4 linked regions of the Saccharomyces cerevisiae S288C genome follow. The gene in region 4 interacts genetically with the main gene of each other region. Each region holds a gene or a part of one and is shown on either strand. Other genes may lie near its edges. The genes, in order: CAT5, KCH1, MBA1 and RCK1.

Region 1 (3,386 bases), on a different chromosome or scaffold from region 4:
TGTTCTGCCAGTGATGGATTAAAGATGACCGCCTGAAATACATGTATTTTATTATATTTTGGGCATGAAATGGAATCATACTCGGATTTTGTTTGAAAAACCACTTGATCAGTTAATGAACCCAAGCAGTTAGGGCGAATACTACTTCTGAAAGTTGAGTAAGAAAGCATAGACTCTTTTAAAATACCCCTCGATTGCAGGCCCTTTTGCATGACCTTCGGGTCTGTAGAATTGAGAAAAATAGTATCGCAAAGTATATCGTCCAAAAGTCTGTCAGAAGTCTTCAGTGGTAGGTTGGTGGCAATATCTGGATACAGTAAGTGTTTTCCATCGTCAACATCTCCAGGGGTAGACTGCTGGTTTATACTTGTCCCGTATAATGGGAGGTCTTCTATAACAGACCCATTTCTGTCAGCATTTTCTTTATCCTGGTTTAGTAGTTGATTATGATGGTTCTCAATTGCTTTTTGAAGTTCATTATCTTCGTTCGGCATTTCCTTATACCTTCTTAACCTTGAACAAAAGCTTTCTTTTTAATTACCACTTTATTATTAGCAGTGGCCCCGTTTTTATGCAATGTTCTTCCAATGGCAAGCCGCTTGTTTTTTTCAAGCTATATGTACTATAGTTTTGCTCTAATTAACTGTTACTCTTGTTAAAGATCCAGTTTGTACTCACCCTTAGACTATGAACCCATACCCCATTTACATAATTATAGACAGTGTATCTATTCCTGTCATATTGGTCATATAGCGTTAAAATGCGTAAGGATGATACATAATTTTATACATGATAGTTTAATTAGGACATTTATCAAACCGTTTTCCTTTCAATTCTCCTTTTCTGGCATAACGCGACTGATGTATGCCACTTTCTGGTGGTTAAATTCTTTCGGCACTCCATATAGCTACTCTGCAAATCGTTTTAATACCTTCAGTGATAACTGTATATGGAACTGCCATATACGAATCATGCTTGATAGCGGTGTCTAGATGCTCTAGCTCGTCATCCCTGAACTGTTGGATAGTAGAAGTTAAGGATTTGATTTCCTCACTTGGACCCTTTGTTCCATCTGTTCTTTCTAAATTGAATTGATTGGCCAAGTTTCGCAATTGGCCATTGTAGTGCCCTCCGATTACTGTCTCGACAGCTTCAGTACAAGCCATAGCTGCTTCTGGAGAAATCAATGCGGTACCAGCCCCCATTGCAAAGGCTCCTGCCTTCCACAAAGGCGTTAATAAGGAAGGCCTGACTCTCCTTTTCAATTGCAAATTGTTAAAAGTATTATGATGATGTATCTCCTGGTCCCATATGTGCTTTAGCACAGGTTTCAAGTGAGGGTACCTATGAGCCAACACGAAGTACTGGCCAGCGTAGATGTAGTCTGCACCTAATTCGCCAGCTTGATCTACACGAATAACACGGTCCAAAAATGCAGCCTGAGCATCTGATAAATTCTGACACTTGGGAGCATGCTCAGGTTTTTCGGTGTGTTTTGCTGATGTATGTTCTGTTATCTTTAAAGATGATAAGACGGAAAAGCCTCTGCTGGCAGGTTTGAAAACTGAAACACGGGATAACATAATTTCTATGTATCTCTCCCGTATACGTGATATCTTTATTCCTTGAATTGGTTTGGAGGAGAAGATAACGACGTTTTCACAAGAATAAAACTCTCGTCTGTAAAAATAAGGAAACATGTTTTATAGATTTCTATTGTTTTTTTTCCTGAAAATCCCGTATATGAAAAATTATACAGTTGCTTAAAAGTTAGGGAAATATAGACAGAGTACGTACAAAGGATTACTGCATTCAAGACATTATGTTAGATCCATCATCTAGCACATCTCTCCAATCTTTCAGTTTGTACTGCATGTTTTTGGGATGATATTGGGGGTAGAATGTCTCAATGACCTTCAATAATTCGTCATGAAAAATTTTGTACCCTTTTCCGGAAAAGTGCAGTCCATCTGTTAGCAGTTGTTGCCAAGCATCACCACCTTCCTGTTGAAACGCCTTATTCAAAGCCACGAAGGGAACTTTTTCCTCATTGGCTAGTTTTGCTAAGGCATCGGAATAAATGGCAAAGTTCTCGTTGGTACGGAAGTATCCGAGAGCTATTTCTTCAGATTTTTCTTTTTCCCACTTCTCTCTATCTACTAGCCCCGGTCCTATTATAATAGGACGGATATGGTAAGACTTCATCAAAGATACCATTTGACGAATATTATCGATAAATTCGGGGAGGGGGACACTTTGGGGACCTGCTGAGCATGCATCGTTGGCACCCAAAAATATTGTGGCCATGACAATATTGGATTCATGCTTTAAAATCTCAGGAAGTATTTTCAACGCCCATCTAGAAGTGTACCCTTTGAACCCTCTTTGAAGAATATCCATTTTTCTCGTATATTCGTTGACTAATGCGGCTCCAAGAGCATACTGATCTTTGCCATCTTCAATGGGCCTAGTATTAAAAGCAAATTCAGTAATGGAATCCCCAAATAACAGAAACTTCTCGTAATCCATATTTGGTCACAGTTTAAGCGTACGAACAGATGATAATGTAGAGGCTAGTTCTTGGTTTCGTATGTGTTACCACGATGAGAAGGTGTAAAGTGCCCTTATTATTGCGCGCTTTATGCCGTATTAGGAAAAATGAAAAAAAAAAAAAGGCAGTTCTCGAGTTTAGATTTGATATAATTAACGTGTGCTTTTCTCTATTGACCTTTGATGAGATTGTATCAGCCAACTGGCTAATTCATTGAACGTTTTCCAAGGGTAGGACTGCTCAAACAGACTAAATTTCTTTGCCAAATAGGGTGTTTTGAGTTTTGATCAGTCAACATTCTTGATCAATTCACAGTTGCTTAAAATAGAAAAAAAAATTGATCGGTATCACTAAAATTTTTAAGAAACTGAAAAGCACCACGGTTTTGACATTTATCTCTATTATAGCTTTTTGTACAAGACAAGGATAGCTGATTCAGGTACTAGTGGTGGAGAGAGCGGCATATTAAAATGGCATCAACTGCTCCCAATGAACAATTTCCATCCTGCGTACGATGCAAAGAATTTATTACCACGGGGCATGCATATGAGTTGGGTTGTGATAGATGGCACACACATTGTTTCGCTTGTTACAAATGTGAGAAACCATTAAGCTGCGAATCTGATTTTTTAGTCCTTGGAACAGGTGCTTTGATCTGCTTTGATTGTTCCGATTCTTGTAAAAATTGCGGTAAAAAGATTGATGATTTGGCCATAATACTGTCCTCTTCAAATGAGGCCTATTGTTCAGATTGTTTTAAATGCTGTAAATGTGGTGAAAATATTGCTGACCTACGGTACGCGAAAACCAAGCGAGGTTTATTCTGTTTAAGCTG
Region 2 (4,341 bases), on a different chromosome or scaffold from region 4:
ACTAGTTAGTAGATGATAGTTGATTTTTATTCCAACAAATATCCGCCTCATTTTCTACTTTCGCTTAAGCTGCTGTAATGAACCCCTAAGGTAGTACTCATTTAGTAGTATTCATGTTACTAGTATATTATCACATACTGTGTATGAAGATGACATAATATTGAGAAACAAATATCAAATCTATTGGAAGCTGAAATGCAAGGATTGATAAAATAATAGGATAATATGACAAAATATCAAAGAAGGAATAAAAAAAAGATGTTATTATGTTGAACTAGTGACACCCTTTTGTGGATTCCTACATACCCAGAGAGAACTCCTAGTATATTCTGTATACCTAATATTAAGTCTTTACCAACAATGGAATCTCAGCAACTATAAAAAATTAACCTATCTCTTACAAGCAAATGTTAAAAGGGGTTTTCAAAGAAACTTTCATGGCTGTTATGTTTGTGCTATAACCGGTATCAATCCAATATATGAAAATAGTGTTACAAAAAAAGTATTATTTTTATCAGAAACATACTAACGGCTGTTTCTAATCACGTCTATCTAATTCATGAAATATGCAAAGGGCTTTTGCCAGCCTATTAAGTATAATTATATGTACGATCTTCATCTTCCAGCAAACCCTTCCTCGGAAGATCAGGCTCCCTGAAGTACGCTTTCATTGGTGTATAAATCCTTCCATTATCATTCGAGTCAGCTTTTGAATTAATCGAACTTTTTGTCTGTAAAGGAGGTGGTCTAGGTCTACTACTGTTGCTATTAAAATTACGGATGTTGTTTGTTGTATTTGGCATAGAATCTAATGGCCCGTGAAACTCCATAGAAGTTGTAGATTTTAATTGTCCAGCAGAGTGTATTTTGTTGAAAATGTCAGAAGAAGACAAATCCTCATATTTTGGAGTATTTACGCTTCTGCTTTGTATTTTTGCTTTCTTTATATCATTACTTTCATAGCTGTTGATATATGGTGAATCTAGAATCGCAGAGAATCTAGTGGTATATTGTGGATTGCCATTGTCAACGAACGATTCCATTGTTTCCGTTTTCTTCATTGTGGGAATGGGCCCACATACATCCTGACTTTTGTATTCGGGTCTTCTCTCTATTAGCTCAATCATAGAATCATTATTAGAAGCATATGACGTATCATTAAAAGATGTTTCAATTTTATTTTCAACTTCTTTAAAATCGTCAAAAGTCTGAGATTCGAGAAGACCTGTCTTATAAATCGTGTCATCATTTTCCTTTTTCCTTTGTCTTTCAACAAGTTCATCAACATTTTCGCTGACGGTAACACAAATGTACTCACGCAACCCGCTATATTCCTGATCATTGATTATTTTATAATAAACAAAAATCGAGCAAATGACAGCAAGCAGAAACTTGAAGACAAATAATGCCCAGATTATAAAGGAAAATAGCATCAGCGACAATATCACTGCTTCTTCATGATTGGTCTGGCCAATGTTCTTTATTTTGTTGATCAAACCGGTAAATGATTCCAGATCGCCTAGATCCTCGTTTTTATTTACTGTTACGAGAACTGACCACAGCGTAAGACCATTAATAACTTGCCTTGGGGTATCCGTGAAGATTAATCTAATACAATCTTTCAGTTGAAAAAAAGTAAAAAATGTCATTTTCTGTCGAAAACCCTTTCGTTCGATCATATTATAAACACAAAACTTGGAATAATTGAGCACTGAATTTAGGTTTCTGGAAAAATTGTTGACATAAGTCAAAGAGATATTTCCCGTTTTGTAAATCCTCATTCCCGCTATAGCCTCCCATATCAATAGCACAATCGATGCTAAAATACAACCGCTAAACAACCATTTGGATATTTTAAAGGGTAAGTATGGTTTGATGATGTTGTTTGACCAGGAGTTGAATGCCAGCAATTTGATACATGTGTAAATGTCAGAAACAAAAAGGGCGAGTTTTAATCCATTCCACCCAACTACACCTATTATGTAATTTAAAACAGTTTTGAACTTGTGGTTTCGAAATAATTCAATGTTTAAATCGGCGAAAGTCTTAGAATTAATGGAGTACTTCCAATCATGGTTAAACATTTTTGATTTTCTGTTCCTGCTAGTCAAATATTCATGAAATTACCAAAGTGTTTGCTAAACAAACCATAAAGATCTGTTTTAATAATCATCAAGGGCTCTTTTGTTTGAAATGTTAATGTGTCCCTCATGGTCTATTTTCATTTGAAACATCTATTCGAATTTTCTGCAACATTTCTTTTTCTGTCAGACGCGAAATGTCGGCGAAAAGTTGACACGATTCAAGGTTCTATCTAATTTTGGAATGTAAGAGAAATGAATGTACTCAAGATAACGGTAAAGAAACAGTTATAAGAAGGCTAAAGGGCTAATCTTTTGTCGAATTGATTACCATGTTCCTGATTTCATACATATAGGATTTTCTCTTGCTATTGACCGTACTTTCATCCATGATTGTTTCCTCATCAACACTGATAATGGTCTCATCTCGGGGTATAAACCATGAGGCTAACTTTTTACACCACCTGTTCTCCTCGTGGTAAAATTTTTCCAATGCTCTTGAACTCAAATGGAAAGTAGAGCTTATTTCTGGAGTTTCTGTTGTACCGTTAAGTGTCCTCATTGAATGGTATTTACGGAGTCTTGCTTGAGCAGCCGTACTTTGATAAACGCCATCATTGTCATTTGAAACAAATGGCGTATTAACTTGGCTTTTGGAACGCAAAAATGGTGAGGAGCTACGTTTTTTCATACTTTTGCCAACTGGTGGTAAGTTTATCTCAGGAATGCCTGCAAAAGGGTCTGCTTCTTCCTCTGAAACACTAACCCATCTTAAATTTTGTTCATCTAAAATCATGTTCCCGATGACCTTTTGATTTCTCGAAGTGGCTCTTGCATGCTGTAGATCAGAATATTTTTGCTTCTTAGAATCTGCATCTCGTTGTAGCTTGTTTTTTATCAATAAAGCTTTCCTGTTTGCCGTGTCTACATCACTAAATTTGCTTAAGACGTTTTCATTTCCTTCCCACTTCATAGTTTTCGGGTTATATATCATAGAACCTTTCTTCATTGGAGTATTATGATCAATTTGCTGTTTTATTGTTTTGATTTTAGCTGGACCATTGAGTTGTACATTTTGATTAGAACAGTGTCTTACTGATCGTTTTTCTTTAAAAGAGTCCAGTTCCTGCTGGGTATTCCAATCTCGTTGTCGCCTATGAAGACCTGGAGTTAATAATTCGTCATGCTTTACTATATCATATTGTGCAGGTGATATTTTTAATGGCAAAGATGAGGATGACTTCTTTAAGAAACGCGGATGGTCGGCACTTTCTTTATCGTTCGAAGAAATCGTTTCATCAATTGCTTCACCCTCTAATTCTTCAAATCCTGTCAGAAAGTCACCTTCATCATCTGAACTGAATTTCGCCAAAATTGTGTCCTGCGTATCGTTATCAATCTTGTAATTAAACTCTCGTTGATCTTCTCTTTCTCGTTCTTCGTCCTCTTCTTCTTCTCTGATAGCTGGATTAACTAAAGCTAAGTTAGGCATAGATTTCTTAAATCTTACAGAATTACCAGACCTTAAGTTTCTTGAAGTGACGCTATTTGATAGTTTTCTTTTTGGTTTCAATTCCATCATTGATCTAGGTTGCTTTAGCCTTGGTTTATCTTCCAAACTCAGTTTTCTATCAAACTCTTCTGCGAAAATGTCGTTTTTGAAAGGGCCAGTTCGACATCCATTTCTCAAATGAAAATTTGTTTTAATAGCATCGTCAAAATCATCCTTTTTATTTTGGAATTCCTGGAAGTCATTTAGAAATTCATCATCCTGGTCTACCTCCATGTCCTGATCATCGTCTGCTTGCTTATTAGACCAAAACGCGCTGGTACTATTGGAAAATACCGTGCCAGTGTCAGAAGTACCTACCGAGGATGGAGGCGGTATATAAGTTGATGTACTCAATGGTGGCACGTTTTCTTCCAAAGTTAATGTTTCATGGGATTGAAAGCGAGGTAGAGTTGTATTCAGTTCTTCAAAAGAGGTTTCTGGCTCATCTAAACCGTTTAACGTGAGAGGCCTAATTGACATAGCATACAAAACTTTCAACTGCTACAAAAGTTTTCGAACTTTTTTCTTTACGTCAAACTTCTCGTTTTTTTCCTTTTATCTGCGCTGAATACATAAGTTTACACTTTTTTTTTTACTATTATTGTTTGTTTATTATTCGCGAGATGCCATAAAATCCCTTCAATAGAAAATAAAGGCAACATTTGACGATCTGAGTATAATAGGAATAAAAACATTAGTCAATTTTCC
Region 3 (3,557 bases), on a different chromosome or scaffold from region 4:
ATTGCAAATATTTCTTCTACACTCAGTTTTCTACCCCATCATGAAATAACCGTATACACATCCTTTATTCTCTATCCAAACGTTGTCGATAATATTTGGGAATGCACACGATACGCTATTCAACTTTTGAAGTCCGAAGCAGCACAGTTTACGCTACTGCGTGATATATATAGTGGCTTCACAATTATACTTTCAAATCATCGATATCATCCTAAGGGTTTTAGCGCTGATTACTGTTACAGTGCAAATGAATTGACATTATTTCTTTTTGTTATTCGAACAGGGCAAAAAAAAGTACTTTATCGATCTATTCCTCACAACACAGCAGCAATTGAAAAAGACAGTTCTTTTGATACAGAAAATAGAAAGAGAAGGTCCGAGGAAGAGGTTGTTCTTAAATGTAGGAAGTGTTCTAATAATTCATTGGCATTAAAAGAAATCAGCACCTATCGTTTGGATAGCGCAGAAGGTTTTGAGAAGTCTCAGCCTCTAAAAGATGAAGCAAAGCTCAGTGATATGAATTATGTACAAGGTAGTATCAGCTATAACAGGACTATTCTTACCGGCTTATGGAAATTATTTCACAGATTGTGCTGCAAAGATCGTTATAGGAAAACCAATCTGTCAGAAACATTGTTCTATGACGATTCAACGGAAAGATGGGTTAGAATGGGAGAGTTAATGCACTATTGAAAGGGAGATGCTTCAATAACTTTTTTCATGAAAAACTATTTAATAAATTTAATATATATACTTCAGAATGAAAAACAAATGAATAGTTTTTACTGAATATGTAAGTGGTATGTGGAATAAGAAACTCAAATGAAGCAATGGCTATTTACAGATGTTCCAAAACTTTTCGCATTTATATACATATTGCCTTAGCTTGGAGGTAAACGATATATATCACCGTTAACTTTCATTCTGTGTATGGCAACTTTAGCATCGTCCTCGTAGCTTTTCGGTAATTTATCATTTGGTTTACTTTCAAACAAAGATCCCATTAAAATCATATCATTAGTTGTAGCATCACACAAAAAGGCAATATAGTCTACAACGTCACGGTCTAACGTCTCAGTCTTCTTAGTTTGCTGATTGACTTTAATTAGTCTTTGCTTCGTATCAAATTTGTAAACCAACTGTAAATGCTCTAACGGCATTCCGGGAATCATGATTGGTTGCACTGAGACTAGTTTAGGAACTGCATTAAACTTTATCAACTGCCAGTCCAGTGTTGCATTACCTGGAAGTTGACGGGACCTAGCCTCGAGAGCTTCCTGAACCCATAATGAAACTAACCCTTTGATGTCCGACAAATTTTTATGAGCAAATGACGTGTTTACATTGATATACGTCTCTATGGCTTTGTTTTTCCAGAGTAAAAAAGAAGGTTTAATGCCTGATTGAAAACGAAACAATGCGACTTGAACAGAGTTCAAACCAAACGTGTAAAGTCTTCTGATCAATGCATTTGCAACAATGAGAGGATGAGCAAATACATTTGGAAGGTTCTTGTAAGCCGAGGGGATAAATATTTCGGCAGCAACACCCAGGTGCCGAGGATTAAAATCTTGCTGCTTACTTTTATCTTTCTTCTTTGTAGTTTCACTTTCTTTATTCAAAATTAACCTCGAAGTTGAAAATAATCGCCGCTTGTTAAATGATATCAACAAGGATCTTGGAGGGAAGAAAAGGCATGTAGATCTTAATACACTCATCTCATAAGCTTAGCTGAATGGATAGGCTTGCTTTCTGATGGAAATTTGCCTTGCTTTTCCAACTATTCCATTACTCAGGTTTTATTTTTTTATTTTGTAATATGGGGAGAAGGCCGGCAGAATATTTACGGACAAATGAATAAATTGGATTGGATTGACTAGTGGAACGTGTAAAGATCGCGATACTCCGTACCAATCACCGAAAGATTGCCCGTAACCGAAATGACTCCATTCTCTGAATTTTTTGTGAAACCAATATCTGAGACTCTTCCTTCATCTTATCAACGTATTGTTCAGTCAATTAAGTAAGAAGTATATTTGAGCGCAGCCTTAATCATATATAGCACCAGTTATATGTTTGCCCCTCTCTTGAGTTGAAAAACACATAATACATAGTACTGTACTTTTCTCTTTTTCATCGTTGGCGAAAATATAATCTTTCTCAAAAATATATATATATGTATATATATCCTTAGATTTGCCGTTGACAATAAGGTGGGCGGCAAATCTACGAAATGCGAGGCGGTTAAAAGAGAGTGACAACATTTTCATAAAAATATTCTGATCTCAAACTGAAGACATAAAATAAGGATATGAGCTACATAGTTGACCTACAAGTGCGAGGATCATCTCTGAGGGTTATCAAATGTATGTTTAGAGAGGATGAGCAAATTTCTTCTCTACATTCTGGTTCTGACTCGAAACAAAACAGCAACAAAAAGCTGGGAGAATTTTTGAATCTGTTAAAAGCAGTGGTCAAGAGGAAGTTGGAAAGTTTCCCAAAAGACCGTTTAAAGACTTCGATTATAACTGGCCAAGAATTAATGAGAGAGGGGCAAGGAAGTATTGAAATTAAGGATCCACCAACGGAGGCGCAACAACATTTGATTAGAAGCCTAGCAAAAGTTTTATTACACCAGTTTTCAAGCATAAATGGCAAAGTTAACACAGTAAATGAAGGACAAGATAATTTGTTTCTATCCTTATTCGTTAAAAAAATTTCTATAGAGCAACAGTCCACATCACACGTCTCTATTAAATTGAACTTTCATGAGAAAATAAATTTGGGTCAGCACATAGATTCTATTTTAGATTCAGAGGAGACCAACGAGTCGGACACTTATCACATGGGATCTGTTGACGAGTTCATTATATATCCCTTTTGCTGTCTGGAAGAGCAAGATGAGCTGAAAAATGGCAGCATACTGTCCACAGAGTTCGACAAGATTGACTTAGAACTAGACGAGGATGATGGTTTTGAGGGAGAAACTTTAAACAATTGTATCAATTCGGTGGGAAATTTTGACATTCCACTAAGTAAGCAAACACTAAACTTAGTAAATATATCATATCTTCCAGGCACAACTTTCGAGGGCCAATGGGAATCGTTGTATTTTGGTAACAATATTAAAGAAAGGTTATATAGCTACGCAACTATATCTCTCAAGATAGCAAGATTCAAACAAACTGGAGACTCCAATCAAGAAGACATTACAACGCTAATCACAAATAATAAATTACTCCTTGTCCATGGTCCTCCGGGAACAGGTAAAACAACGTTATGCAAAGCACTTTGCCAAAAATTATCTGTGAGGCGGGAATTTTCAGACGGTTCCGATACCATTGATACTAATTATAAGGGGATAATAATAGAATTGTCTTGTGCACGCATCTTTTCTAAATGGTTTGGAGAATCGTCAAAAAATATATCAATAGTATTCAAAGACATTGAGGAGCTTTTAAAGGTCAATGAGGGACGAGGGATCTTTATATGCCTTTTGATAGATGAGGTTGAAGCAATAGCAAGTTCAAGAACAAATTTGTCAAGTAGAAATGAGT
Region 4 (4,048 bases):
GTTCATAATGTGTAGAGCAATGAAACCGGTTGCGCCAGAAACGAAAACAGTGGTATCAGTAGTCATAATTATTACTTTTTTAAGTCTGTTTAGCACAGTTGTACAATGCACAATTACTGTTTTTATAAACTATGTAGTAAGATCCATTGAGCTCGAGACATAGTTTTTCTGAATGAGCGGTTCATTTATAGTAATTTGTCTTCATAAAGTTGCATAGAATAAATTCCGGAATTATTCGCAAGTTTTTCCGTGTTTCTAGGATAGGGGTCGGAACCGCGGAAAATCCTATGCTAATTTCGGCCGACATTTTTATAGAGCGAAGCCGATCTTAACAAATTGATGACGTATGCGTTAGGAAACTGTAACTAGAGAGCTGGCGTAAATATTAAACGTATCTTTTTTATTATTTCAATATGAATGCTATTAATTATTAGTATAAAAAGGGGAGACAGTTGATATATTTTCGAATATGCTGGGTGCGTTTTCCACTGGATAAGAGTTTACCAGAAGAATATCTTGTTCTTCCTTCTTCGGTATATAGAAGATGTTGCAAGGTCTAAGGTAAAACACTCTTTTGGCTCACCGATCCAACTGCCCCGTAGGTTTCTGTCTTCTTCCGTCATAAATATGTATTCCGAGCTTTCACTTCTGGAAAACTCGGTGTCATCTTGTTTTTCAGATTGGCAGCTTAATGCACAATGTAGGGTCTCTGCTCTCTCATCGAATGAATCATTTAGTATGCTTTGCACGCTGGCATAAGAATTTGAGTTTGAATCCTTCAAACAATCGTACGAATTTAACCAAGGATCATTTAGGAAGTCATCGATATCGTATCTCTTGTTTGGGTCAACCTCCAAAAGATGGGTAACTGCGTTCTTAGCGCCAGAACTTATGTTGTCCCACCATGGCGCCAAGAATTCGTAATCTCCTCTCGATATTTTCTTCAATAATGTTTTTTCGTTCTTTTCGTAAAACGGAGGATATCCACACAATAACGTGAATAGTACGCAGCCAATACTCCACATATCAACTTTCATGGAATATCGTTTGGAGGTGAATACTTCTGATGCGACGTATTCTATCGTTCCGCAGGGAGTTTTTGCGGTATTGTTCCGAAGTTTCTTGGCTAGTCCGAAGTCCATTAGCTTCACTAAACCAATACCGCCTCCGCCGACACCTAATGTAAACTCGTCTTCTTTTTGCATGTCCCCATCAAGGCCATAAAATGGGATAGGTTCAAATAGTAGGTTTTCTGGTTTGACATCACGATGCACAATACCCATGTAGTGCATATGTTTAATTGCAATTGCTACCTGAGTAATGACATGACGAGCTAAGTCTTCACTAAAGCATGTTAGTTGGACGATCCTATCAAATATTTCCCCACCTGTGACTAACTCCGTCACTAAGTAATAGTAGTTCGCCGATTCCTGGAATGCGATAAATTTTGTACAATGCGGATTATTTTTCGAAACCAGTTTGTGGATGGCAACTTCGTTTAAGACTTTCTTTCTGCTGGAACCTTGGATTCTATCATTCCCTTTTAAGATGGCATCGCTCGAAATGCCTTTCTTTATGATTGCTTTGATGGCAACAGGAGCTTGGTCATCCGTGTTGATGCCTACTGCTTTAAATACTCTGGAAAATGCCCCTTCACCAATTTTATTGAGCAGTTTATAATTGTGCAACTCCAGTTGTTCAGGATACTGGTGATTTGAACTGGAATAATCGGTTGACTTGTTAGAAGTTTCATCTAATTTTAATTCAGTGGAAAAAATGTCACAAAAATATTCGTCTTCTTGAGAGTTGTTTTCCAAGCAGCTCTGTTCACTTTTTTCTGAATCGGACGAGGTAACATTAAAGTCGACTGAAAGAGATGATCTACGGCAACCCGATGCAAAGGAGTGGTGTAAATTTTCTGAGTTACCATTTATCCTGTTAACTTTATTTTTACCATCAGCGGCATTGAAATACGCGGCATCGGGCGTTGTTGGATAAAAATCGATGCCATCGGCTATAAATTCTGGGTTTACTGACATTTTTTTCTCTATGATGACTTATTTTATATGATATGTAGCCTCTGTGCTTGGTGCTGCATGAAATAGATGCTGGTAGTATTGTTTTAGGAAGATTATTTGAGTAATCTTTGCGATGTGTCACTGGAAAAGAGTTAAGTGATGATTTATTTTTTTCAATTGACTTTCAACATGTAGGAAATATCTGGTATGAAGTAGTATGAAGTATTTATACGTCAATGATCCGCGAATATTCGGATAATGACTTCACCCACTCCATATAACTGAAAATCCGACAGGAAACTAAGGGACGCCGAGATGTCAATCTCATGCACTTCACAAACTCTTAATGGGAGTGCATTGTGTGATCATGCAGCTACCATAGGCACCGAAAGCGTGGGGTAGCCCACTTAAAAATCTTCTTCTCGGAAAAAAAAAATGAAATGCCTTGCCGGGAAGGTGCTGATGCAGGAAGAATTTCTTCATGGAAGGGCACTCCTCATCCAAAAGGTTTCTCGAAGAAATATTCTATCATATCCGGAATTTCTTTTTTTTTTCCACTGATTTTTTTCTGCTAGAATTGTTTGCCCCTCTCCGCAGGGCGGGGTCTCTTACATGAAAAAAATCTAGATTCGTCACACACAGGAAAGGAAATCGACTATTTAATTACTTCTATAAAATTTAACTTTCATGCAAGTCCCCTAAAAAAAAAAAACACTACAAGTTTGTAATTCCCTTTTTTTATGTACAAGATTTTAACGTCATTTTTCACAATGTCGCCGTATAAAGGCGATTTTTCTGCATTTTTAAGGTCAACAGGTATCTGGACCTTCCATTGTTTTTCCGCTTCGATTGTCAAGATTGTCAATTTTCGCAATTTTGATTTTTATTTCCGTTGCTGTGACTTTCTTCTTCATACTTGAGCTGCATTGTTCTTTTCTCCGCTCTCATTTTTTTTTTGTTTCCCCTCATTATTTTCTTGCATAGCAAAGTGAGTTGGAACTACAAAGTTTTCACAGTCTGAAATTCCGTGAATTTAAAAATAAAAAATCAATTTTTTCTTACACGTAATTGCAGAAAGAAAGTATACGTAGTCACTAAAAAGCGGTCATATATCAGGAAGTTCTGGTCTCCCGTCTAAAAATAGAACAATGCGTGTTCCAGAAACTTAATTATGGGAGATGTAACAAACTTTATTACATGTTAAGAAAAGCCGAGTTCAAAGTATTAACCGGAAGAACACCAATTTCTTCAATTTTAAAAGCCAGAGCGCCGTACCCGATTTCTTCTCTTAAACGACATGTTCAACCAACATTCTTTTACATGCAGCAAACAGGCAAAAATGAAGGTCTAATTTTTCTCGTCTTTAGTCGGCTTCAAACGCGGGTAGCTTGATCACAGAACCAAAAAGATAAAAAATAATGGTTGCTAAGAGATTCGAACTCTTGCATCTTACGATACCTGAGTATTCCCACAGTTAACTGCGGTCAAGATATTGCTTGAATCAGGCGCCTTAGACCGCTCGGCCAAACAACCACTTATTTGTATGTTTCGGTTCTACTAATATAGGTTGGAATCAGTTAGGTATTATCATCTTAAGCGTACAATTCAAAATGTTCACAGAAGAAACCCTTGTGCAACAACCTACAGCGAAACAAATAATACTGGGTTATTTAGCTATAGTTCTTTTTTTCTTAGATGAACTGCTCAAGTGAGCGATGTCGATAATTGAAGGCTAGAAGATAGTATAATCAAAATTAAATAAGGATCTTTATATACTCATATGAGAGAGGTATAAAACACCCACACTAATTGATTTATTATTGCTTACGAACAATATGATAGTAATTCCGGTAGTTATCATACACTCAATGTGGGGACTTATATTGCTCACGTATATAACTGTCATATCATATTCAACTAAAAAATCTTTAATTCAGTATTGTTTAACCGCTAGTGTAACATTTCCTTCTGCAATTGTTTACACTGTCATTTAACGGTACCCATGGTGTACAACAATATGTAGTATAAGC

What was found.
Region 1: mutations in RCK1 (region 4) and CAT5 together harm fitness more than expected from each alone (negative genetic interaction), as found in Saccharomyces cerevisiae (2 studies listed by BioGRID).
Region 2: mutations in RCK1 (region 4) and KCH1 together harm fitness more than expected from each alone (negative genetic interaction), as found in Saccharomyces cerevisiae (2 studies listed by BioGRID).
Region 3: mutations in RCK1 (region 4) and MBA1 together harm fitness more than expected from each alone (negative genetic interaction), as found in Saccharomyces cerevisiae (3 studies listed by BioGRID).

What each region holds. Positions count from the first base shown.
Region 1 is NC_001147.6:558,149-561,534, forward strand, and holds CAT5 (putative monooxygenase CAT5), read right to left. Parts: upstream 1,584-3,386; coding exon 882-1,583; downstream 1-881. Other genes in the region: ubiquitin-specific protease UBP2, read right to left, coding at 1-494; IAH1 (isoamyl acetate-hydrolyzing esterase), read right to left, coding at 1,813-2,529; GTPase-activating protein RGA1, read left to right, coding at 3,022-3,386. UniProt on the Saccharomyces cerevisiae protein: Catalyzes the hydroxylation of 2-hexaprenyl-3-methyl-6-methoxy-1,4-benzoquinol (DMQH2) during ubiquinone biosynthesis.
Region 2 is NC_001142.9:533,799-538,139, reverse strand, and holds KCH1 (Kch1p), read right to left. Parts: upstream 2,085-4,341; coding exon 591-2,084; downstream 1-590. Other genes in the region: BFA1 (Bfa1p), read right to left, coding at 2,389-4,113. UniProt on the Saccharomyces cerevisiae protein: Low affinity potassium transporter that, with PRM6/KCH2, participates in high-affinity Ca(2+) influx system (HACS) activation during the response to mating pheromone. Directly promotes K(+) influx and HACS may electrochemically respond to this K(+) influx.
Region 3 is NC_001134.8:598,242-601,798, forward strand, and holds MBA1 (Mba1p), read right to left. Parts: upstream 1,719-3,557; coding exon 882-1,718; downstream 1-881. Other genes in the region: YBR184W (uncharacterized protein), read left to right, coding at 1-693; PCH2 (Pch2p), read left to right, coding at 2,312-3,557. UniProt on the Saccharomyces cerevisiae protein: Mitochondrial inner membrane-associated mitoribosome receptor that spatially aligns the mitoribosome exit tunnel with the membrane insertion machinery and allows cotranslational protein membrane insertion.
Region 4 is NC_001139.9:205,024-209,071, reverse strand, and holds RCK1 (putative serine/threonine protein kinase RCK1), read right to left. Parts: upstream 2,040-4,048; coding exon 501-2,039; downstream 1-500. Other genes in the region: carbonyl reductase (NADPH-dependent) ARI1, read right to left, coding at 1-66.